4 linked regions of the Drosophila melanogaster genome follow. Changing the gene in region 4 together with the main gene of any one other region gives a genetic interaction. Each region holds a gene or a part of one and is shown on either strand. Other genes may lie near its edges.

Region 1 (5,870 bases), 2.2 Mb from region 4:
ACTAAGGCGTGCAAAATGGCCATTAAGGAGTGTAGCAACAGATGGCAAAATTGGAATCTTCTCGGAGTTATCAATATGAACTCCGAAAATGAGAACTTGCCATTGGCACAGCACTGTTTTATTCAGGCTGTAGTGCTGGAAAAAAAGTGCTACACAGCGTGGACCAATCTCGGAGTTCTCTATATTAAACTGAATGAAGTCCGATTGGCCAACGAGGCCTTTACGAGAGCCCAGCAATCAAGTCCCGTGTACGCCAACGCTTGGATTGGACAAGCAATGGTTGCGGAGTTGATTGGCGATCGCGAGGAAGCCTTTGATCTGTTTCGTCACTGCCAGCAGTTCGATTACCATCCGGAGGCGGCGCTTGGATTTGCGCATTGGGTGTGCGAAATGCTGTCGACTCCTGGATCTTTCGACAAGCCGCGCATAAAGCATGCCATCGAACACATGTACGCTGATGTGCTTGCGCTGGATGCCATCAATTGGTAAGTATTATAGTAATGCCCTATCTAAAACCAACTAAAGACTTGCAATACATTTAAGGTATGTGCAAAACGAGGAGACGGATGCGACACCAGCATCGCTGTCGTTCCAGGGATTTCTCTACGCCCGGAAAAACCTGTATCGCCAAGCAATCGAAGCCTTCACTCGGGCGTGTAAGTTGTGCGAACCTGGAGCGGATCGTGACAAGCTCTACACGAATCTGGGATACCTGTACTTAAAAATAGACCAGCCGGAGCAGGCGGCACACGCCCTAAACACGGTTGCACATGCCACATTTAAGCCGATCATTGGCCTGGCCCAGGCATATTATCTAGCCGGTCAGTTGCAGGAATCCTACTCTATTTACAACTCCGTTCTCGGCAACGTGGTTGATCATGGCGATGACAAAGCAGCTACCATCCTCGTGGCTATGGCATCCATGATTTACGACTTTCAGGGCGAAGCGGACACCAAAACCCTACTCTATCAGTGGTTGGTAGCGCAATATTTGTTTTGTTGATTCAACATTTCTAACGTTATAATCACCAAAAGTGTCTTGTTGAAGGAGGTCCCCATTCAGGCGTTGTTTTCAGCCCTTGCCCTAGGTATACTTCATAGAGATAATGCGTTGATCCATACGATACTGACGGAGCTGAATGCGTACGCCTTTAAGAAGGAGTATTGTGCCGACATATCCTATTTAACGGCTCACTACATCCTGATAAATGTTCGTTAAAAGTGGTGAATGTTGTGGTTCTACAAAAGTAATACTATGATTTTGTTTAGGAGGGTGCCCGAAGAGCGTTGTGCTATCTACAGACTCGCATACGAATGTTTCCCAATTCCCGAAGTCTGCGAAGTGTCGTGCTAAAGTTTCTTCTTGATTATTTCTCTGATGACCAATCCTATCGACTGGCTACTTCAAATATGGGTCGAATAACTCTTACTCTGGGACACACTAAGCAACAAAATAGGTAAGACTTGGGAATTTATATACATTGTATTATGATAGACTGAATTTGTTTATATTTAGCATCTTGGCCAGCGAAGAGGCACTGACCACTATATATGCCAGTCAGGCGGTTAGTGCAGTAGACAAAACCTGTTCTATGAAGTTGTTGCAGCGCGCCATACTGCTAAGCCCAACTGACCAGAGAGCCAGACAATTACTTTCCGCTATTATTGCAAATTCATGATATTGTCCAACAAAATAAACTTACTTTAAAATTTAAACTATCAGTTTGGCGGTTGAATTGCCAAACTGATAGTGTTTGAAAACACTAAATGCAATGTGACCGTGCTGCTGATTGTGTTGCGGTGGTCACACTGCGTCGGGGGTGAAGCCAAGTCCACGAAAAAGTGAATAAAAAGCGAAAAATGTGCGAGAAATAGTTAAATAGCGTATGAAATAGCCATGCAAGACACGAATAGTGACAATGTGCCGCAGAATTAGCCGCAGATAAAGCTCTAAATCGCCTATAGGCTATGCACTGCGCCCTGCATACCTGCGTATGAAAAACCTGCTGCCGCCGCAATTACAGTTAGACACTAAAATAGCTGCACGGCCAGGTTGCAAGGTGATTTGGGGCACGTCTCTTCGCGAGCAGGAGATTCGGAATCGGGCATAGCTCTCGCGCGCTAGCCCAATTGCAATGGAAAACGAATCCGTCAAGTCGGAACACAGTGGACGCTCCAGACGCTCGCGGAATCACAACAACAACGGCGGAGGGGGTGGCGGCGGAGGTGGTGGCGGAGGAGGCAGTGTCAACAACGGCTATCACAGGGAGCGGGACCGCTCCAGACATTCCCACCGCAGCACACACTCCTCGAAGTCGGCCAAGGGATTTCAACGTGGCGACATGGCACCGTACCAGACCAGCGTTAATATGACAGGTGAGTTTGTTTAATGGCTCTATCGGTGGAAGGAAACCAATTGACCCATTTATTATTTGGGCACCAGGAGACGGCAGCCACGATGGCCAGGAAGTCATCGAGGTGCAAATCCTTCCGCAGGACGAGAACTGGGGCGAGAATACTACCGCCGTCACGGGGAATACCTCGGAGCAAAGCATCTCAATGGAGGACATAAACAACATGTGGCATCGTGAGAGCGACAAGGGCTTCAGCTTTGCGTGCCGCCGATACGTGGAGTCGAGCTTCTACTTCCTGCTGGGATGCGGAGCGTTTTTTTCGCCAGTGGCAATGGTGGTGATGCCGTATGTGGGCTTCTTTCCGTCGGCCTTCGATCATCCGGAAATAACGCAAACTGTTCGCACCCAGCTGCTGGCCTGCAGTGAGCAGTGCAAGGGCCAACTGGTATCGCTGGCCGCCCGGCTGCTGCTTCTGGCCATCGGCCTGTGGGCAGTGTTCATGCGACGTACATCGGCCACCATGCCACGGATATTCCTATATCGCGCTCTCGTCCTCCTTCTCGTCACCATCTGCACGTTTGCTTACTGGCTCTTCTACATCGTGCAGGTCACAAACGGGGCCAAAATCGTTGTGGAGACGGGCGGCGATGCCGTGGACTACAAGTCACTGGTAGGCTATGCCACCAATTTTGTGGACACTCTTCTATTTATTCACTATGTGGCCGTGGTGTTACTAGAGCTGCGACACCAGCAGCCTTGCTACTACATCAAGATCATTCGCTCCCCGGACGGCGTTTCGCGCTCCTACATGTTGGGTCAGCTGAGCATCCAACGGGCGGCTGTGTGGGTGCTACAGCACTACTACGTGGATTTCCCCATATTTAACCCTTACCTGGAGCGCATCCCAATATCGGTCTCCAAATCGCAGCGAAACAAGATATCAAACAGTTTCAAGTACTACGAAGTGGATGGGGTGAGCAATTCGCAACAGCAAAGCCAGAGTCGAGCAGTTCTAGCAGCCAACGCGCGGCGCCGAGACTCCTCGCATAACGAGCGCTTTTACGAAGAGCACGAGTACGAACGTCGTGTGAAGAAACGGCGTGCCCGTCTTATAACCGCCGCCGAGGAGGCCTTCACCCACATCAAACGCATTCATAACGAACCGGCTCCGGCACTGCCGCTCGATCCGCAGGAGGCTGCCTCGGCGGTTTTTCCCTCGATGGCCAGGGCGCTGCAAAAATACTTACGGGTTACGCGTCAGCAGCCGCGGCATACCTTTGAGAGCATACTGAAACATCTGGCGCACTGCCTAAAGCATGATCTGTCGCCCCGCGCCTTCTTGGAACCCTACTTGACCGAGTCTCCGGTGATGCAGAGCGAGAAGGAGCGACGCTGGGTGCAGTCTTGGTCCCTGATCTGCGACGAGATCGTCTCTCGGCCAATTGGCAACGAATGCACGTTCCAGTTAATTCAGAACGATGTCTCCCTAATGGTAACCGTACACAAGCTGCCGCACTTCAACCTGGCCGAGGAGGTTGTGGATCCCAAAAGCAACAAATTTGTTCTTAAGTTGAACTCCGAAACATCCGTATGACACCACCACAACGCCCCTCCAATCAACACTCCCACTCATAGCAACCAGACGCAATCGTCCTACTTGCATGTGTTTGTCTGATTTTCCCAGCTACTAATTCACATATTCACATATTTTCTTTACTTCAGCCAAATCGATGACGTTCTTGTGAGAACTGCCATCAGGGTAATTGAATTCATTTTTATATATGCCTGAAACACCACAACCAATCAAACCAAGCAATCAAAATTACTTATCAATGAACAAGAGGAGCATTTTTAAATCGATCAAAACCCTGAATTTAAAAAAAAAAAGAAAAAAACATGGAAGTTTAGAAAGGAAAAGTTGTTGTGAGAACAAAATGTCTAGGCAGGCCTCAGCAGCTAAATTTTGATCTTGTAACAAATGATTATTAGATGAGAAGGCAACGTACTTATCAGTGCTAAACTTGAACTTATGACCCGAATATCAAGAAACAATGCTCAAAAGCCCAGTGTATCATCCTAAACCGACGCGAACATATCACACCCTTTGATAAGCAAACATGACTTACAAGTTCCCAAAGTATTAATTATAAGAATGATGGTTTGGCTTGCCGAACCGCGATCTTCAGATATCAACTCTTAAATGCAGCTCTTTTATACACGATTTTTATTTTAGTAAATATGTTTAGTGTAAAGTTGGGCTTACTCTTCGCGGAATATCTAAAATTTTACCCGATATCTGTGAGGCGTGAGCCCGATCGCTAGCCTTAAGAAGGAATGGAGTGAGCCAAGGCAAGCCCATGGAATTTTAGCTAGGACTCGGACTTGCGTCGAAAGTGCATTGGCCACTTTTGACGCGACTTAATAAGATTTTACATACGCACATTTTAAGCCGAAACCGAATGGTCCTAACTCTTCTGCCACAAAGTTGAGAAACGACGAAACAACTATAACTCGAATGCAACTGATGACAAATACATAATATAAGCGAAGACTGCCTGAATATGCATTTTATACACACAAATTGCCAACAGCCACTAGCAGGTGTATGTACTAGCCTGTGCATAGCAACCACATATATACAAAAACTCGTGTATTTTTAGAGACAAAATTATAGTGATAAGGACCCGAATTCGTATTCGAACATGTGTACGTTCCAGTGAACCCAATCTATATATACATACATATATGATATATACCTATTTACAAAACTACTTAGAAACGTTTGCTTGAGGTTTGATTTCATTTTCGTTTTCTAGCTAAATGTCTTCTGTCGAAGCTCTTTTATATTGCAATTATCTAGCAATTACTTAAAGCAATTGGAAAACCAACCTAAGCATACATACCATTTATACATACATTTACTCTCAAACTGTAACTGTTGTAATTGTAACTAGCATAAAAAACAAAATGCGTAAATAAATCAAACCCACTTCTTTAACAGCTTTAAACGAATTGTTCTATCTCGAAGGTGACGCAAATCGTGGAAATGCGCACGTAATTAATTCATTCTTGGGGGTCTTTTGAATGTCTGAAAGTTGCCTTATCAGCTCGGGATTAACAAACAGTTCCTATATTGATTATTGAGCCCAGCAGGTTTACCAAATCGCACTGAAGTATAATGTATGAGTAGATTTAATCGCAATCAATCAAGTTTCAAGTTCTTTGTGATACAAAGACTCGAATGCCTCTCGAATTTCTATGATAAGAGTAATAAGCTCAATTAATTCAAGTGGAGTGAGCACGATGGTCTCATTTCATAAGCTACTTAAATATCAAACTGAGGAAACCCATGATTTGGTGCCTGGTGGTGGATGGTGCGTTCGCTTTTATTTACATTATTTCATAAATACTAGCCAAATGTGAGTGGAATACTAACATATCAGATATCCTTTAAACAATAATAGGCAACAGCTTGCGCTGCTGTTGTTTTTTGGCTTGTGCGTCGTCAGTGCTGTT
Region 2 (6,644 bases), on a different chromosome or scaffold from region 4:
ATTATCATAATGTGCCACCCACGAATTCGTGAAATCTATTTAAATTCTTTTGCGTCGCATATTTTTTGTTTGTTTACCTTAATTTGATTATCACTCTCGAGCGTGCTCACTCGAGGTGTTTTATATATGAGAGCTCTACCTTAGCAAATTCTCCTACTAATTGTAAACTTTACCAACTATTTCCACAGAGGCTTGGCCACGCAGCTGGTGCGACAGATTCCCAACACGGCGATCATGATGGCCACCTATGAGGCGGTCGTCTATGTGCTCACGCGGCGCTTCAACAACAAATCGAACGAGTTCTACGACTTTTAGATGCCTTTCAAAGGACTGGAGAAGGAGTAACCCAATCTGTGCATATGTAGACGCGACTGCTGCAACTTTATGTAATTTTATCCCTCGTTTTTAAACGATCCAAACCAACGAGCGCAAATTCTTAGTTAACTAGCTTCTAAGTCAGATATGAAACGAACTCGATAGACTTAAGACGTTAGACGTTGAACGTTGGCCAACCAATCGAAAAAAAAAAAGAAGCAAACAAAGAAAAAACCAATAATGGGAAACACGCACCAGGATCGAAGTGCACCATCCACACCCTAAACCCACTTGCTGCATGCCACAGAAGGATGTGGTATGCCACCGCAGGGCGAAACGTTATCAAAATTTGAAAAGGCTGCTATTTAGTTAAAGTTACAATATATATTGAGTGTATAAATGTGGTTGATACTTGGATAATATAGTGTACATAGGACTCGATTCGCTCAGAGTGCATTGTAAATAGTTAAAGAGTGAGTTCGCTGGCGTAGTTTTCTTAGTTGTAAGCACAAAATGTTGAATCGGCCGCAGTTGCCAGTAGATGCCGCTAAATATATATATATATAGATATAAAGCCGACCGATCCGATTCGTAAACTGTAAAAGTTTCCGTTAAGTTTCCTCAAATGCGATATACGATTTAGTTATCATTACTCTACTATATTACTTTAACTATATTGATACAATTTTTGCTGTTTATTTAGTCCATTAGTTAGCTAGTTAGTTAGTTATCCCCCCCCCCTCCACGCAAAACGTATTTCACTGATAATGAGCAAAGAACTAAGGAAACCACTGTGAATAATTGATTGCAATCCGATTTGATGGTGAAATCAATAAATACAACAATTTTGTTTAAAAATAACCCACTCGTTTCCCATTTAATATATATGTACATTATCTTATCTTAACAATCGTCTGCAGTCGAACATAGTTCATCTTGGCTAACCAGACTGCCGCCCATAAAAGTGAGATGAGATAAGCCGATTTGGCCAAGATAATACGATTTCGCACAACTAAATTAAAGTGATTTATTGGCTAGCTACTACACTGCGAAAGTAGTGGTAGCTTATTGTAAATATTTTATTTTTCTGAATTTCAAAAATTTAGATCCTGGTTCGGGTACGTGCTAAAAACATAGCATAGCCTGGTTCACAACCTATGTGCTCCATCGAAGATCTCCACCACGTGAGCGATCGCAGTTGTAGTCCATCTATATCACGCCACCACCACGCTCAGCGACGTAACAAAGTGCCGTCTCTAGTAACGTAAGCAGTGTTTCGAGCAACAAGTTTATTTTATTTTCATAAACAAAGTTTGTTTAAAGCGAAAAATCCTGGCCAAAGTGCTAATTCGTTGGCTATTCCGCGAGCAACCTTGATAACGAGTCGCAGAGCAGTCATAGAGCAGCGCAATTAACCCCGATACAAAGCAATCAGTGCAATTGGAGCAGCTTGAAAGGCACACGCCAACAAATCGAGATCGAGCTGATCGAGTCGCGTTGACACCCATCATTCCGCCATGCAAATCGATGCACTGGAGGCCTGAATATGCTGCTCAGCGAGACCCATTTCTGGACCACGTTGCGCGAGGATGTGGTGCGGATCAAGAGCCAGGACCTGGGCGCCTTTCGCTACCTCAGGCAGCGCGACAAGGAGCAGGAGCAGCAGGACCTCGCCTGCCTGGCCAAGCGAGACTATACGGAGCGTCGCAATGGACTGGCCGTGCTGAAGAACTCTGGTCGCAAGTCCACCGGCCGCTTGAAGGACAACCTCAAGAAGCTGGAGGACCTGCTGCGCCAGCACAGGATCATCCACTCCGAGTGGCAGGACGCGGCGCAGGTGCTGCTCCTCTTCTCACACGGCCTGATCGCCCACATCTGCGTGGACATCTACACGGGCGACATTCTGCGCATGGTCTTCGAGAAGTACCTGGTGGGCAAGCTCGCCTCCGAGGTCATTACGGATGGTATGTGCGATTCTCTCCTTTCACCCGCTCCAGCCCGCCCTCCATCGCATTAGAGCCATCCATCAATCAGCTTGGGCATTGCATTTCTGCATGTGCAGCTCGACTGGCAGACATCTCAACTTGCAGCGTTCGAAAATCAGTTAATATGCGTTAACATCACGCAATACATAATGGCTATTTCAGGCGTAATTAAAGGTTCCTCATCATTAGAACGAATTACCAAGACAGCTTGCTAGAAACACATGCATGCCATTTAATTATTCACTAAGCTCTCAGCTATAAAAGCTGTCCTGCATTTAGTTCTTTGTGCTGTTTGCCGCTTGTCATCCAGGGTATCAGTCATTCGATAGAGTGCAGTCCGCATTTGGCCTTGCTCCGCGGAGTGCTGCTTGTGCAGTTATGGAGAAATTTGCATTGGCAACAAGTGCGACTTGATTTGCACTTTCCCACACCAACACAGCCGCACGCACACATGCAGGGCATGCAATTATTGTAATTTTTAATTAATCTGCTGGCTTGTTTTGTTGCCTGTAAATATGCGAACCCCCAACCCCTTTCCCCCATCCACCATCCTCCGGCTTTCCATGTTTTGTTCGAGCCACTCATTCAGCTTTGTCGCTTGTGTCTCTTTTCTCGTCGTGCGCCCGCATCCGTTGTCTCGCCAGCTTTTTTCACCCGTTCCCACATCGTCTTGGCCTACAATACCAACCAGCTGACGGTGGTGCATCTGCAGAGGCCTAATGCTCGCTCCCAGGGACCGGAGAAGATCGCCAATATGGATCCGCGCATCTTCCACGTGATCATACCGGGCGCCACAGAGCGCAAACTATCCCGCCACCTCACAGTTAACGCCAGCTTCGATCTGTTCGTGGTTTGGACGCAGTCCTCGCAGAACGAGGTGTATCCCTGGAGGCCAACGATAAGGGACCAAGATCGTGCCAACATACATGTGTTCAAGATCAAGGGGTAAGTTGCACAGTACAACTCCCACTCCATGGCCCAGTCTAATCGCTTTGCTCAGCTTGCAGCTGGAATCGATTGCCTATTGCTGGTCGGAGAACGATCCGCTGTGCGTGGACTTCCTGCGAAGCAGCGAGAGCCAGATCATCACCCTGGAGCAGAAGGTTTCCCGCAAGGGCGACATAAGCGCAGAAATCTGCTCCTACGAACTGGCCGCCGGCAAGATGCAGCGCACCGCCATTACCTCCATTCCAATGGGCGCCCAGATCTGCTCCTTTGCCTTCAGCCCCGACCAGGAGAAGCTCTTCCTGGGCAGCGTCGATCGCAATATCTGCCTGCACGACCTGGTCCAGCAGTCGACAAAGTACGCCAACCAGATTGAGATCGTGCCCAATCAGTGCGCCTGGCACTGCGACTCCGCCATGCTTTGCGTGGCCAACGAGCGATCGGTGCTGCAGTGCTTCGACCTGGCGCTGGCCACCATTGGCCATCAGCTGGTTAGCGAGAATGTGACGCCGTCCAGCTTGCTGGATCTGTCGCACTACTTCGTGGCCCAGCCAACGCTGCTGAGTGTCGCCTTCAGCCGAAAGCCAGATTTGTCCACTTTTAAGCACACCTACGCCCAGACGGATTGCCTGCTGCTGCTGGTGTACGAACAGGGACCTTTGGCCTGCATGCGCATCTTTGGCGGCACCGGAATGCGCGGCGACATCCACAATTCCGGACTCACTGCGGACGTCATTGCGGACAAGTATCTGCGGCTGCAGCAGCCGGACAGAGCGGTCAATGTCCTGGCCGCCCTCAACTGGGAGACCTACGGAGCCATGTGCCTGATTACGCTGCACAAGATAGCCAACTATGTGTTCTTCGGCGGTGACCAGCGACGACCTCGCATCGAGCTGATGGCCAGAGCGTTGAAGACATTCGCCCACACGCTTTCCGAGGAGACGAAGGACGAGTTCAGCGATCAGGTGTACGATCTGAAGCGCCGCTTCTGCTTCTATCTGCTGCGGTGAGTTGAGCTCGTGTGAACATGCCACTTTTATGCTCAATCCTTTCGTTGCTTGCAGCAAAAACCTCTTCGCTGAGGCCTTCGAAATCGCCCAGGATGTGGCCGACTATGACATCTTCATGGACCTGTACAACCTAACCAAGTGCATCTCAAGCCTGAGTGAGTTCGCCCAGGTGGCCTTCAGTCAGGCAGCTGCCATAATCCACGAGGAAGATCGCGCCAACGGCAATCTCAGCCTGACCTGTGACCTGCGCTCGGAGTCGGCCTGTTCGCTGTCCACCTGCTCGGACATGTTGCGCGGTCAGGGAGCAGGAACTGCCCCCGAAACCGGACTAGGCGCAAGTCAGCCACAAAGCCAGCAGGTCCTGAAGAACTATGTGCCACCGCTGCCCTCGTTCAAGTCGAAGGTATTCAACGCTGAGATGATCAAGATCAACATACCGAAACCGGAACTGAGGCCGCCCTTGCCGAAGGTTTCAATAGCGCCGCCAACATCTTCGCTGGCGAGTCTAACCCTGAAGTCCAACAGTAGTCTGCAGCAGGCGCCCGCAAAGAGTCTGCATCCAAATGGTTCGTGTGAAGAAAATTCCCTTCATAACTTAAATAATTTATCCATTATTTCAGGCAATTTGTGGTCCCAGGACGTGCCGGATCAGACGGTGGGTCTGCCTATGGCTAGTAGTCCACTTCCTCGTCTTCCGCCTTCAAACATTCCAGATCAGAGCGCCCAGCTGGGTCAGTTCAGCACGATGCCAGCTTCGCCTCCGCCGACAGGGTCCTATCAGCCCAAGTTTTATCAACATCCGCTTGTCTCTGGCAATATTCCCGCCATGCTGCCATCGCTCACCAGCGAGGACTACCAGAAGCGCCTGCTGCAAAAGAAACCCACCGCATCCATATTGTCCAACCCGGCGAATCCAGCACCCACCAACGGAGAAGCACCCGCCACGCCCGCAAAGTCACAAACGGCCGAAAAGAACAAAGTCAAGTTCTCGGATACAATTCAAGTGGCGGTGGTGCCAGTGAGTTAACAAATCAATCGATGATGTGACAGTTTACTAATGCTCTTACTCGAACAGGAAATTCCTCGCAAGGAAAAGCCAATGCCACCCAAGAGAAATGGTTACTCCAGGCCCGCTGCGCGACATCTGACAAATCCTAAAAAGGAGCTCGCAGACAGCCTGCCGCTCTGTCATCCGAACGACGAGTATCTAAAGGATTTCAACCCCATTACGACCAGTGGGTATTTGTTGAGTTCACCAATAACCTTGCCCCATTGACCGTGTCATTTCTTCGCAGATGTGACTAAGCCGCCCATCCGACGACGCGAGGAAGAACCCAAGAGCAGCAGCAAGGGCGGCAACTCCTCCTCCTCCTCGTCGTCCATCAAGGTGGTCCACTTCGGCGTGGTCTAATAATTCATAGTGCAATTCCCAGGCGTACACCACACAACGGTTAAGCGCTGCGTCTTCCAATCGTTTGTAACTATTGTAGTAGGCTGCTCCTTCTACCCTCTTCCTTTACTCTTAGTCATACATACCTAATTATACATAGCCAATCTAGTCATAAGCTTATACACTCATACACCCATCCTTAACATACAAATATTATCGAGAAACTTATCGACTAATCGACTCGCCACTCTGCAGAGAGCGCGGCAGTCAGTCGCTGTTGAACCAAGCTAAAGGACAGATCAAAAATAAAAGAGACACGTGAAATTGTATTAGAATATTAACTTCTGTAAACGGCGGCTAAACTATTGCCGTCCCAGTTAGTGCAAAGCTTTAAATAGGAAAGTTTTACTCATAGGTTCTCTATACTCTTTACACAGGTTACTCATTAAAGCTAAGCATTAAATGTTTGCCAAATCGGAGGCGCCGCCTACTTCTTCCTGGTGGTGGTGGGTCCGCCCATGCGCTCCAGCTCGTCCTTCAGGTCGAGCAGCTCCTTGTCGGGCACGTAGCGCCGCTCCTCGCAGTCGTCGGTGTACTCCTGCACCTGCAAGCTCACACCCTCGGGCAGCGCCGCCTGGGCCAGGCGCAAGAACTGCGGATAGACTGGCGCATCCACATTGTTCAGCTGCAGGTTGCGCTCGTAGGTGGTCAGCTTGTACTCCGATTCGATGACCGTGGAGTTGGGCCGCAGTCGCTGCACCGTGGTCTTTTGCGGAGGGAGGGCGTAGCAGTCGGAGACGTCCAAGTCCAGGTACTCGGCCAATCCGTGCAGAAACCTCTGGTAGCTCTCCAGCTGCGGGTAGTCGTAGCCCTTGATCTGCACATTCAGGCTCTCGTACTGCGGGAATTTCGGCTTGAGGGACTGCAAACGGAGAACAATGGTTACTGACCACCAAAATAATTGCTCATCTAGTCTGATCTGATTGAAATCTGTCTACA
Region 3 (5,520 bases), on a different chromosome or scaffold from region 4:
CGATACTGCTTCCGCCAAAAAATATCAACATTGAGATCGTTTTCGTCTCGAAATCAAGAAGGTTTCTTCTAATGAGCATGATTGATGCCACTGAGTACGCTGAACACAACCGATATCGGTATTTTTTTAAATTTCTCTGGGTGTAGTAATGCAGAGCTTTCACTGATAAGGGGTTCCATAATAATGTTACCGATTCTGGTGGGATTAGGCTAACATCAAAGACCTTCTATAAGCAGTCGATCCGCGTTGCCGGAAGCGTGAAAGTATATGTATATAGTTTCGAGAGCTGTTAACAATGCCCAATCAAACTGAGACTTGGGCAGGGATTTTTATTGGACTTTATTGGATAGGTTTACCGTATTTCTTTGTGCTGTCCCTGAGGGTTCCGTTGGGAAACTGCCACCATATCACCTCGTCCTTGATCAGATCCAGCAGACAACTGTTCCCATCATCCGATTCGTACTTCAACATGAGGGATTTGAGGTCCGTTCTCTCCTTGCTGACCTCTTCGGCCTCTTCGCTGGATGTTGTGGCTGAATCTGGTTCTATTATCAAGCCATCCTGGATCGAAAACTCGGTGTATGCTTCCCTTACGTTTCCAAGGAACAGGCATACTAATACGATCACATCCCATATATATTTTGGACACATATTCACTGAATTGCGCACCTATAGTGCTTGTAATGGGGGATTATAAATAAGATTTGACAGCTGTTTGATTTCACAATCACACAGATAATCGCGTTCTATACAATTTTTAGCCACTCATTCAGTTTCACTGGGTATTCCGAAATCTAAGCCACATTTTGTGATAGTTAACCGCGGCCGACATTTCCCGCAAATCACTTTATTTGCGGCTGGGCGAAGCACACGCCTTGGATTCGCGCAATGGACTGGCTGGAGGACTCAGCTTGCTCCGATGGTCAGCAGAAATAATAGGTAGCTGCGGTACACATGTGCGGCTAATTCTGCCATGATACGGCTTATCAATTTTGGCAATATCTTCCCTTGAATGGCCCGGGACTATCAGCGTATCGCTTTTTCGGTGGCACTGGGCGTCCCGCTTCACGCCCACGCCATGTTCCTTATCGGATAATTATCTGGACGTCGGAGTACGGCTATTAGGCCCGTACTTCAATGGGATCGGTGCTCCGGATCAACCGATATAGCCACGGCTCGCTTTTGGCCAGCACATAGTGAGTTCAGTGAGACACAATTTTCTATACTACTCGATTGTTTGCAGATAGAAAAGTTTTGATTTACGGCGTCCAGTCCGGAGACCGATATGAAAAAAATCACTTGGAAAATCTTAGATTATCAGACCATCGGCGATACGAAAAGGTGGCCACTAAAACACCCGGGTCCACAAATGCCCAATTAATTATATCAATTCCCTTCATATCATGCATACACAGTTTATTGGCCGTAAAATAATTTATTGGGAGATAGGACTTCAGCGGTAGTCTCCTATGACAAATGATCATCGGATACCCATTGAGGAAGCAACATTTTACTAATCTTCCGCTGATTAACACAATCCTTATGATAGCACACCAATTTTGCTTTAAGTTCCACCAAATCTTCAATGCGACTTTGTGCAGAGTCAGCATATCGCAGACGGAGCTCTATTTTTATAAGGATTTTCCATGATTATTATTTATAACTTAATATCACGCTGAAATCAACTGGTTAGCAGTCCAATCGTTAAATGCGAACACTTATAAAAAGAAAAGAAATTGGTTATTGTATTATGGTAACTATACTTGTCTTAACCCACGGTGGGTTTTGAGTTTCCCCAGCTTGAAAGAGAACCAGATCACAAAGGGAGTGGATCGTTTCCCGCTGGAATTTGAGTGGAGTGGTATTGAGCTGGTCGGAGCCAGAGCTCAATTAGAAACTGGTTTTGAGTGCTGAGATCGGATCTCGGCTTTCAGTCGACATTCAGAGCTGAGCTGAGGCGGTATCAACCGGCGGCAGATAGTTGAGTGTGTACCTGGAATAGTAGGCCACTAATAACTATCCGCCCAGTTAACTATCCCCGGTAAACTATGCGCAAATCGCCGGCCAGCCTGCCGTCGGAGGCCTTCTCCAGTTCGAACTCCTCGCTGAGCAACTCGTACAGCGATGGCAGCGACCTGGCCAACTGGGAGGAGTACGTGTCCACAGACGGCAGTCTCTTCTACATGGAGTATGTGCGATGTGAGAAGACTGGCGTCTCGGCAGAGCGGCGGGTGGAGTTCATGCGTCGATCGCTGCGCCTGGGAAAGAAGTCGTCGCGTCGCCAGCCGCACAGCAATAATCAGAATCAGAGTCAGAACCAAAACCAGTCCCACGGCCCGAGCAGGTTGGATAGCCAGACGGAGCCGCAAGAGTTCCGCTTCTCACAGTTCAAGACGGCTGCCCCCGATCCCAAGAAACTGGATCTGGTGATCACAGCCGCTGATCGCTTCCGTTTCGGACGACGATCCACGGCGGTGGAGTCCATACTGGGCTTCCGGGTCCTGCCCTTTCCGGACCAACCAGAATGCCTGATGGTCGATGGGTTCGTTCACGATGTGAGTGCGCTGCAGCACGGCATCAAGCGGGGAGATTGGTTTAGATCCCTGAATGGCATAGAGGTGTACGCCAGCAATGTGGATGAGTTGCTCAAGCAGTTCGTGGAGCCCACTCAGGTGTGCCTAGGCTTCCAGTCGTGCGGTGCGGCCAGTGCAGTTTCGCCCACCGATCCGGGGTATAATCGAAATGTCCGCGAGGAGCAGGTGTGCAAGGTGGAGAACTTTCCCATGTTCACGGAGAAGTTTGAGCAGATGTTGATAACGGAGGGGAACTTCGGTATTCCCGGTAGTTCCGTGGACATAAGAATGCCCTTTGCTATGCTGCTACTCCCACCGGAGTGCTATCAGCATGAACAGCAACAGGATTCCCTCTACTACTTTCCGGAAATCCCCGACAACTTCCTATTCAAGGCCCGTGGGAGTTTCCTCACCCTGCACGCCGTACTCAGTGAACTGCACACCCAGCCGCTGAGTTCAAGGCTGCTGGTGGATCAGGTGCAATACCACGTCAACTACCGCCAACTGAATGGGTTCCTAGTCCTCTTCGCCTACGCCGGAGGACTCTGCTGTGCGGCGGAGTGCAGCCTGCGATCGGATGAGCTAATCGGATACATACGCTTCTCTCTGCCGGGCTTGGTCCTGGAGAGCTTTAATCAGGAGAGAGAGCCGGGGAATAGTTCGAGACTGAAGCTGTTCCTTCGACACTTTTGCGAAATCCAGAGAACCCGGCTCGTAGCCAGATGCCATGGTCATATTCGTTTCGAGGAGCTCCTGGGCCAATCCCGCAGCCTGCCACTGCCAAAGGAAGCGCAGCTGCGCATCTTTGATGCTCTGAGTGAAATGGAGGCCATGGACTATCGCAACTGGAACGACGAGCCACTCACCACCCATCGCGAGTTCTTCATCTACGGCAGTGCGCTGTACTACGATGGCTTCCTGGTGGCCAGCCTGCTGCCACCGGAAGTGAGGGTGAGTGTAGAAGGATTCCTGCGCTGCCGCGGAATCTTCGAGTTGCTCGGAGCTGCTCCGGGAATCAAAGTTCGCGAGATGTACGTGTGGGAGGAGATAGTGTTGCCCAGTGCCACAGGGCGATATTTCCTTACCATCTGCACCAAGAACCACTTGAGTCTGGCCGTGATCTTGAAGATCTTCGATGCTCCAGACATGGCGCCGGATGCGGTGGTGGGTCCATCGCTCTTTTACATCGAGGAGATTCAAGAGACGCTGGACCACCTAGTACAGTGCGGCATTGAATCCCTGGCCATGTTCTGGTCCGTTTCCAATAAGAGACCCGAGGTGCTGGACGCCACTGCCAGCGAGAGTAGAGATCAGGAGAAGGAGCCGAACAACCGACTGGAGTCCTTCCTCAAGCAGAAGCTAACCGTGCTGAGTCCTTCGGTGGAGGAGGAAGCCCAACTGTGCTCGTCCCTGGGTGGGTCTTCCATACATAGTCTGACTCCCAGTGAGGACGAGTCCTGTCGCAGGCGATTGACCCCCATCCATGGTACTGCCGAGGACTCAGACAGCGGTTCCGACTGGGAGAACTTCGCCGTACAGCATCCACTTCACTATGGACTGAATCTCGGGGCCGAGAGCCACAGTCAGAGCCAAATGACAGAGTCCATGTGGAAGGAGATCAACAACGTGGTGCCGGTCAAGATATCCGCTGGCTGGAAGAATTCCGTTCTGCACTACGTCTACATTGACATAGCCAATGGGTCCTTGTTTGCGCCATTTACCGACAGCTCCGAGAACTCCAACTACCTCTCCGAGATTCGTCAGGCGTGTCACATAATCCACGCCGTGCTGCAGAAATCCAAGCACTATCGCAGGCATCTATCGGAATCCTCGAGAGCACAGACGAACTCGAACGGGCACAGTAGCCACACAGTGTCGCTGGTCAAGGAGCACGGCATGATCCTGGAGGTCAGCACGCAACCCAAGTCGGACGGGCAATCCCAATCCTCGACGAGCAGTCGCTTCGTGGTGGTTGGTCGTCTCTTTCAGTCGCCAGCCAAGGAAGTGTACGTGTGTCACCGGTCCGATGTTCCCCAGAACATAGTCGAAATGGCCTTCCGGTTGTCCTTCTTCTCAATGGGATGACATCTTGGAAGGATACTACCAACTTAGATACTGGCTATGCGTAGAATTCTTGCTATAATATAAACACAAATATTTAAAATGTGGTTTTAACTAAACAAATTACTTTTATATAGGCATTCAAACAATTTTTTAAAATTATATTTAAGAATGCATAATTAATCATTTTCAGCAATTCTATTACGAAAGCATTTGATTTAGGGGAAGTGCAATTTTGTATTTTCAAAATTCGAAAAGCGCAAGCTTGCCAAAACTCTAAGAAATTGAAAAATATGTACATTTCCTCTGAAACGCAGCGAATAAATATGTATGTATGAAGGTATTTCAAGAGGAACACAAACATCGTGCGAATGTGTTTCATTCATTCATAGTTCGTACTAGAGAAGCCATCAAAAGTGTACACTATTTTTAGAGTTTGGTGGGAGGGTCCCATTCTAAAAGTAGTTCCACGCACCAGAAGTCAAAAGACACGCCGACCAATAAATCCACGTGAACGAGTGGCTCAAGGTGGTGCTCCCCAAATTGCCAATTTCCCAAGATTCGTCGACAGTTGTGTTTGGGTGTTTCAACAGAAGAGGATTCTTGGTGGATGGATATGATGACAGCTACGTGGATGCTGTGTCTTGTTCTCTGCTCCACGGCGATGGCGACGGAGGAGGAATCGGGCAGTGGACTGTTCAACGTCACCGGGAATCCCTTGGATACAGAAGCTGCTCCAAAACTGCCCAGCGAAGTGCAGAAAGCTGTTTGCACTGTGACTGCGGGGGAGGTGAAGGCATCTGCCGAGGCTGTCACCACAAAAACCCTTAAGGGAGTGTGTGGATCAGGTGGGTGGTCAGTGGTCTCTTGCCCGTTTGATCTTGAA
Region 4 (4,824 bases):
ATAGTGAATAGTGGATGGAGGTGCTGTAGCACTAACAGTATAGACCAGTTCCGAGTTGGCAAAGCGCCGTTTGATGCTCTAATTTATACAGCATACTGATGAGTTGACCGCTGTTCTGGAATTGTTCTCCTACGGGTTTGGGTTCGGTTCGTTTCGATTCGTTTCGGATTGCTTTGGATTGCCTGGCTCTGGTCACGAAAAAAAGCTGCAGATCAGAGCACACCTGACCAGACACGGGAACCAGCAAACACACACGGTATCAGTAACTCAACTCACCCAGAAATGGAAATATTCGTAGCGGTTAGCGTTTAATTGAAATGCATTTGGCTTGTTGTCTGTCAATCAACCGTTGCGATGGATGGATAGGCTCCGGAACTCGGCCGCCCAAGGCCCGAAGGGTAATGGAGCTATTGGATCTTGGCCAGGATGCACACGCAACCCCATGGCGCCGTCATACGCCACTTTGCCAAGTCATCAAAACGGCAAAATCACATCCATAACCAACCGCACGCAATGGGGATTCTTCGTAATGAAGATTCGCCTCCTGCTTGGGGAGTTTAATTATTCAATCTGGCCAACGAAAGTAATAACAATTATCAGTGTGTTTGGCGAAATTACCTCCGATTGACACCTGATTTTTAATGCTAGTTAAAGAGTTCTGGACAGAAGAATGGCTTGTTTCTAAGTAATCGCCAGATAGCTAGACTTTTTAATTACTCATCTTAACTTGGGTCGACAATTATTTCTGCAATTGTCATAAAACTTTAGAACCAATTAAAAGTGACGCAGCGTAAACGGTAGCCATATAGATTATGGTTTTACACCTGATTTTAAGTAGTCATTAAGAGTTGCAGAGAAATAAGGCACACCGTTCCGTATTTATAAATAATTTAGGTGCGTGACGTGTGTTTAATTAGATCTGGTTAAGGATAGAAAACACTTGTCATACAACTTTTAGAAGATAGTTGACAAATAGTTGATTGTGCAGAATTATGAGTATTTGTGCTCAAGTTCTTTTGGAAGCAGTTAAAACATTACGGCCAACTGAAACCTACATTCCCAATTGGCCATATTCAAATAGTAATTTAAATGAATGCAGAGATGTTCAAAAAGTAGAGAGCTCCAATAATTATCAAACCTGGACATCTGGACAGACACTCGCATCCTCCATTAACCGTTATGGACTGCGGACTCGAAGTGGACCGACCAAGTTCAATGAGCGCATTTTCATGTTTATTGCAGAAGCAATTGGTAATAAGTGCGCGACCGCAGACGTGGAAAAAAGAACACATTTCTCAATCGTTATTTATGAATACAATTGCAAGTTTGTTTAGCTCGGCCGGAGGCACCACACACTCCACTCCGCCACCAGCGTATCAATAACAAGCCGAGATGAGGCGGAATGCCGGGACATCGAGGACAAGGGGGGTCCACGTACCACTGTAATAAATATTAGTGAATTCTTTTAACTTATATTGCACTTTAGATTAACTTTATATTAAACAGCTAGCCAATAAGATAGGTTGAAAGGGTATACCATTAGGCGTTTGAGTACTAACACTAAACTAACATAACTGCTTAGGTCGTTCAATAACTTAATACTCCCATCACGTATCCCCTCGACACTCCGAACTTTTCTCCCTGTGTACGCATCCCAGACGTGAACTGGTTTCCCAGTTTTCCAGCAGCAGCAGATCAGACGACTCACCGCAGCCGGCGGCCAACCAGCGACGTGTGCCCAAAGTTTGCATAAGTTGGACCACGACATGGCATGGACATGGACGAGGACTTGGATGTGGATGTGGATCCGGACTGGAGCGAAGACCTGGACCTGGACCTGGACCTGGATCGGGCTTCTTTTTACAGTTAAAGATTTATGGATCATGCATGGGTAAATGGCGAACAGATACGCGGTCAATTGTGTGTAGGTAACGCAACGCAATTTATTCCAGCCCGAAAGATAAGAAAAGCCCGGAGGAGCAGGAGACCCACTGATCCAGAGATTCGGAGCTCCGAATCCGATTGACACAGAAATACAAATTCGAACAGTGAGCGTCATAAAATGCAGATAGACACAGTCATAAAAGTATAAATAAACGGTCGAAGGCCCATTCTTGAGAACTGTATTTGGACGATAATGTTGAGTAGTGGCTGCAAGAAGGCGGGACGCTGGGTATCATTAGATGGAGATCTACGAAACTAAAACTTTCTAAATGACGGGCGGCAACTTTAGCGGCAAAAAACCAAAACTGTAAATGCAGCCAAAGCAAATAGTTGCAGCGGCGTCGCCAACTAAAGTATAATTATTGGCCAGACGAGATGGGAATGAAGACGAAGACTGTAGACTGCAGACTGTAGACTGCGGACTGTAGCCTGCGTATTGAAGACTGCCAAGCTGCATACTGAAGACTGGCATAGCTTTGCAGTCTCCAACTGGGAAACTGCACGTACGCAGCGCCGGCAAAAGGAGATGCCAATATTTCTATAAATTTCTATATATATTTTTTTTCGTTTTTTTATTTAATTTTTTGTCGTTTTGTGTGCCACTGCTTAACTGTTTTTAATTGAAACCCGTTTGCGGTAATTGTCTTTTTGGCTTGTTGCCCCGACCGCCTTACTATATATGTTATAACTTGCTTATGTCAAACAGATTGGCCGTGTAATTTGAGGCAGCCCCATAACTCCACCTGCCGTGGAACTTTTCGAAAGTTTTCACTTGTTCTGCTGCACGGATCTCCGGATCCATGGTTTTTTTCGATCTTAAGATCGTGAATCTGCAGATCTTGAGATTCCATGAAGTGCAGCTGCACTCGAGCGCAACTAAAGCGAGTAAATTGTCATAAATTGAGTTGAACCAATGACAAATGACGTTTTTTTTTTCTTGTTCCGCAGCTTTTATCAAACTGGAGCGTGAATCTTGGAACGGTACTGGGGGATTCCTGTCATTTCTACCGCCGGCCACACGGCGTATGCGCGATGCAGAACCTGTCCCAGTCTTTGTTAATTAGTCTACAGTTAGAGATCTTCGCCTTCACACATCACAACACGCAGGCATTGCCAGCAGTTGGCTGTTCGGCTGTTTGGTTGTACAATTTGTCAAAACACAAACGGACCGAACTTATACTTTCAAGATATAAGAGCGTGGAGCAGAAAAGAAAACTCGTTTAAGAGCGCACCGCCTCTCTCCGGAACTTTTCTTCAGGCTTCAGTCTACAGTCTTCAGTGTTCGGATTCGGCTTTGGTTTCTTTGAGCTGCGATTGCTTTGGCAGTCGCACCAACGACGGCGACCTTGATAGACGTCTTAGCGGTTCGAAAGACATCGAGAAAAATCCCACAAACCCTCTGTGCAACCTTCATTCGCGAAGAAAAGCCGCCGCTGCCTTCGCTTTCTTTGCGGCCAAAACAGAGGAAAACAAAAGAAACCGAAGCGAATTTTCTAAAAACAATAGCAATAACAGTTAGCGCGACGCTGGTTGTTTATGTGTTATTTAGTGTGTGGCACGAGATGAAGATGTTTCAAAAATGCTGAAAAACGTGCAGAAAATGCTGCCGAAGAAATGTGTGAAAATGCCAGCAGATGCAAAGTGAAGTTAAGCAAGTTAACCAAGTTAAAACCGAAAAAGAAACCGCTTAAGTTTATGTGCGAAAAGTAATCCTGGTTGTACCTTGTCGGGAAAATTAACGGCCAAAGGTGTTAATTTATTCACCTAAACTGCAACCGAGCTCTGCAATGTGAGTACATGACATGAAACTAAAATTGGAATATCGCGCGACCAGATCTAGATTTTGTTTTTGTGCTGGCAAAAAGGGCTTGCTTTGCCCCTTGGCTCCGGCTAATCAGACCGATGCCAATTGAGTTTAGGTCACTGGGCATGGGCACTCTCCCAAATTGAAAATCTTTTTTTATTCGGGAGAAAGTAATTTGGGCTAGAAAATAGCTCAAAACGCCAAAGCAAAACACCGGGCATTGCACCGCCGTAATTCGGTCTTAACAACCGGCCGAAACCGTTGGACAGCCGGCCATGTCCAAGTTGGCCCTAAGTACATATTAAAGCACATTAAGGCGGCGAGCAAATGATGCGCTCCTCTGGCCACCACAATGGACTGTGGAACCGGGAGCCGGGAGCCGGGAGCCGCTAACACAAAATAATAATAATAAAAATAACAGCGGAATAAATTTGAAATTTGTTATTGCGCTGGAATAGCTGGGATGATGCTCCAGAGTTTCCAGCTAATCGGCTGCCTTCATGCTGCTCCGCTGCTGCTAGCGTGTTCTAAGTGTTAAAAGTACGCCGAGTGTGACGTCGACTGCACTCGGAAGTGTAGCGGCAGCTCCGGCCAGACAATGGGCCCATCATCTAGTGCCCGGAGTTTGGAGTTGGAGTTGCAGCCAGCGCCAACTCCAGCTCCAACTCCATGGTCGGTGCATGTTCATGTGAATTGCAATGGCCAGGTTAGAATGCGTTGTGGTAATTTCTACACCCTTGCAGAGCACATAGCTTTCTGCTGGGTATGACCAACTTGTACCCAGTTCGAATATAGTATTCTGAGTATAGTATAGTAATAGTATTCTTTTCTAAGAATACCCATTTAAAGACTAGGAAAGCGCTTAAATGACTTGGATGATTTTCACAAATTGAAAGTTATTTTTATCCGGCATTAGAAAGCAAGCCATTGAAAGTTTAACTGTTTCAATGGGCTAATAATGAACCCTTTTAAAATGCTGTTTTTAACTTAACTGCGCTTAAACCAGCAATCGTAAACAATAAACTGGCCATTAACTAACCATTAGCTGCCTGATTTTAGTTGCCAAAAAGTGACTC

What was found.
Region 1: of sha (region 4) and Vang, changing one enhances a phenotype caused by changing the other (phenotypic enhancement), as found in Drosophila melanogaster (one study listed by BioGRID).
Region 2: of sha (region 4) and frtz, changing one enhances a phenotype caused by changing the other (phenotypic enhancement), as found in Drosophila melanogaster (one study listed by BioGRID).
Region 3: of sha (region 4) and in, changing one enhances a phenotype caused by changing the other (phenotypic enhancement), as found in Drosophila melanogaster (one study listed by BioGRID).

The regions. Positions count from the first base shown.
Region 1 is NT_033778.4:9,101,441-9,107,310, forward strand, and holds Vang (Van gogh), read left to right. Parts: upstream 1-1,797; 5' UTR 1,798-2,135; coding exon 2,136-2,376; intron 2,377-2,443; coding exon 2,444-3,948; coding exon of another isoform or gene 3,949-4,029; 3' UTR 4,030-5,356; downstream 5,357-5,870. Other genes in the region: CG8777 (uncharacterized protein), read left to right, coding at 1-485, 544-975, 1,036-1,210, 1,270-1,457, 1,517-1,679.
Region 2 is NT_033779.5:1,710,774-1,717,417, reverse strand, and holds frtz (fritz), read left to right. Parts: upstream 1-1,566; 5' UTR 1,567-1,861; coding exon 1,862-2,279; intron 2,280-2,944; coding exon 2,945-3,245; intron 3,246-3,300; coding exon 3,301-4,251; intron 4,252-4,309; coding exon 4,310-4,821; intron 4,822-4,875; coding exon 4,876-5,273; intron 5,274-5,330; coding exon 5,331-5,490; intron 5,491-5,550; coding exon 5,551-5,666; 3' UTR 5,667-6,116; downstream 6,117-6,644. Other genes in the region: Rim2 (replication in mitochondria 2), read left to right, coding at 189-315; mRpL48 (mitochondrial ribosomal protein L48), read right to left, coding at 6,133-6,567. UniProt on the Drosophila melanogaster protein: Probable effector of the planar cell polarity signaling pathway which regulates the septin cytoskeleton in both ciliogenesis and collective cell movements. Functions cell autonomously to regulate wing cell hair polarity and number.
Region 3 is NT_037436.4:20,365,268-20,370,787, forward strand, and holds in (inturned), read left to right. Parts: upstream 1-1,930; 5' UTR 1,931-2,048; coding exon 2,049-4,658; 3' UTR 4,659-4,992; downstream 4,993-5,520. Other genes in the region: Toll-9, read right to left, coding at 357-651; CG13247 (uncharacterized protein), read left to right, coding at 5,245-5,482. UniProt on the Drosophila melanogaster protein: Plays a role in the definition of cell polarity via the planar cell polarity (PCP) cascade. Acts downstream of fuz and accumulates asymmetrically in wing cells to regulate planar polarity in the wing. Probably acts by regulating ciliogenesis.
Region 4 is NT_033778.4:11,322,520-11,327,343, forward strand, and holds the start of sha (shavenoid), read left to right. Parts: upstream 1-1,794; 5' UTR 1,795-1,891; intron 1,892-1,952; 5' UTR 1,953-2,054; intron 2,055-3,268; exon of another isoform or gene 3,269-3,270; 5' UTR 3,271-3,737; intron 3,738-4,824.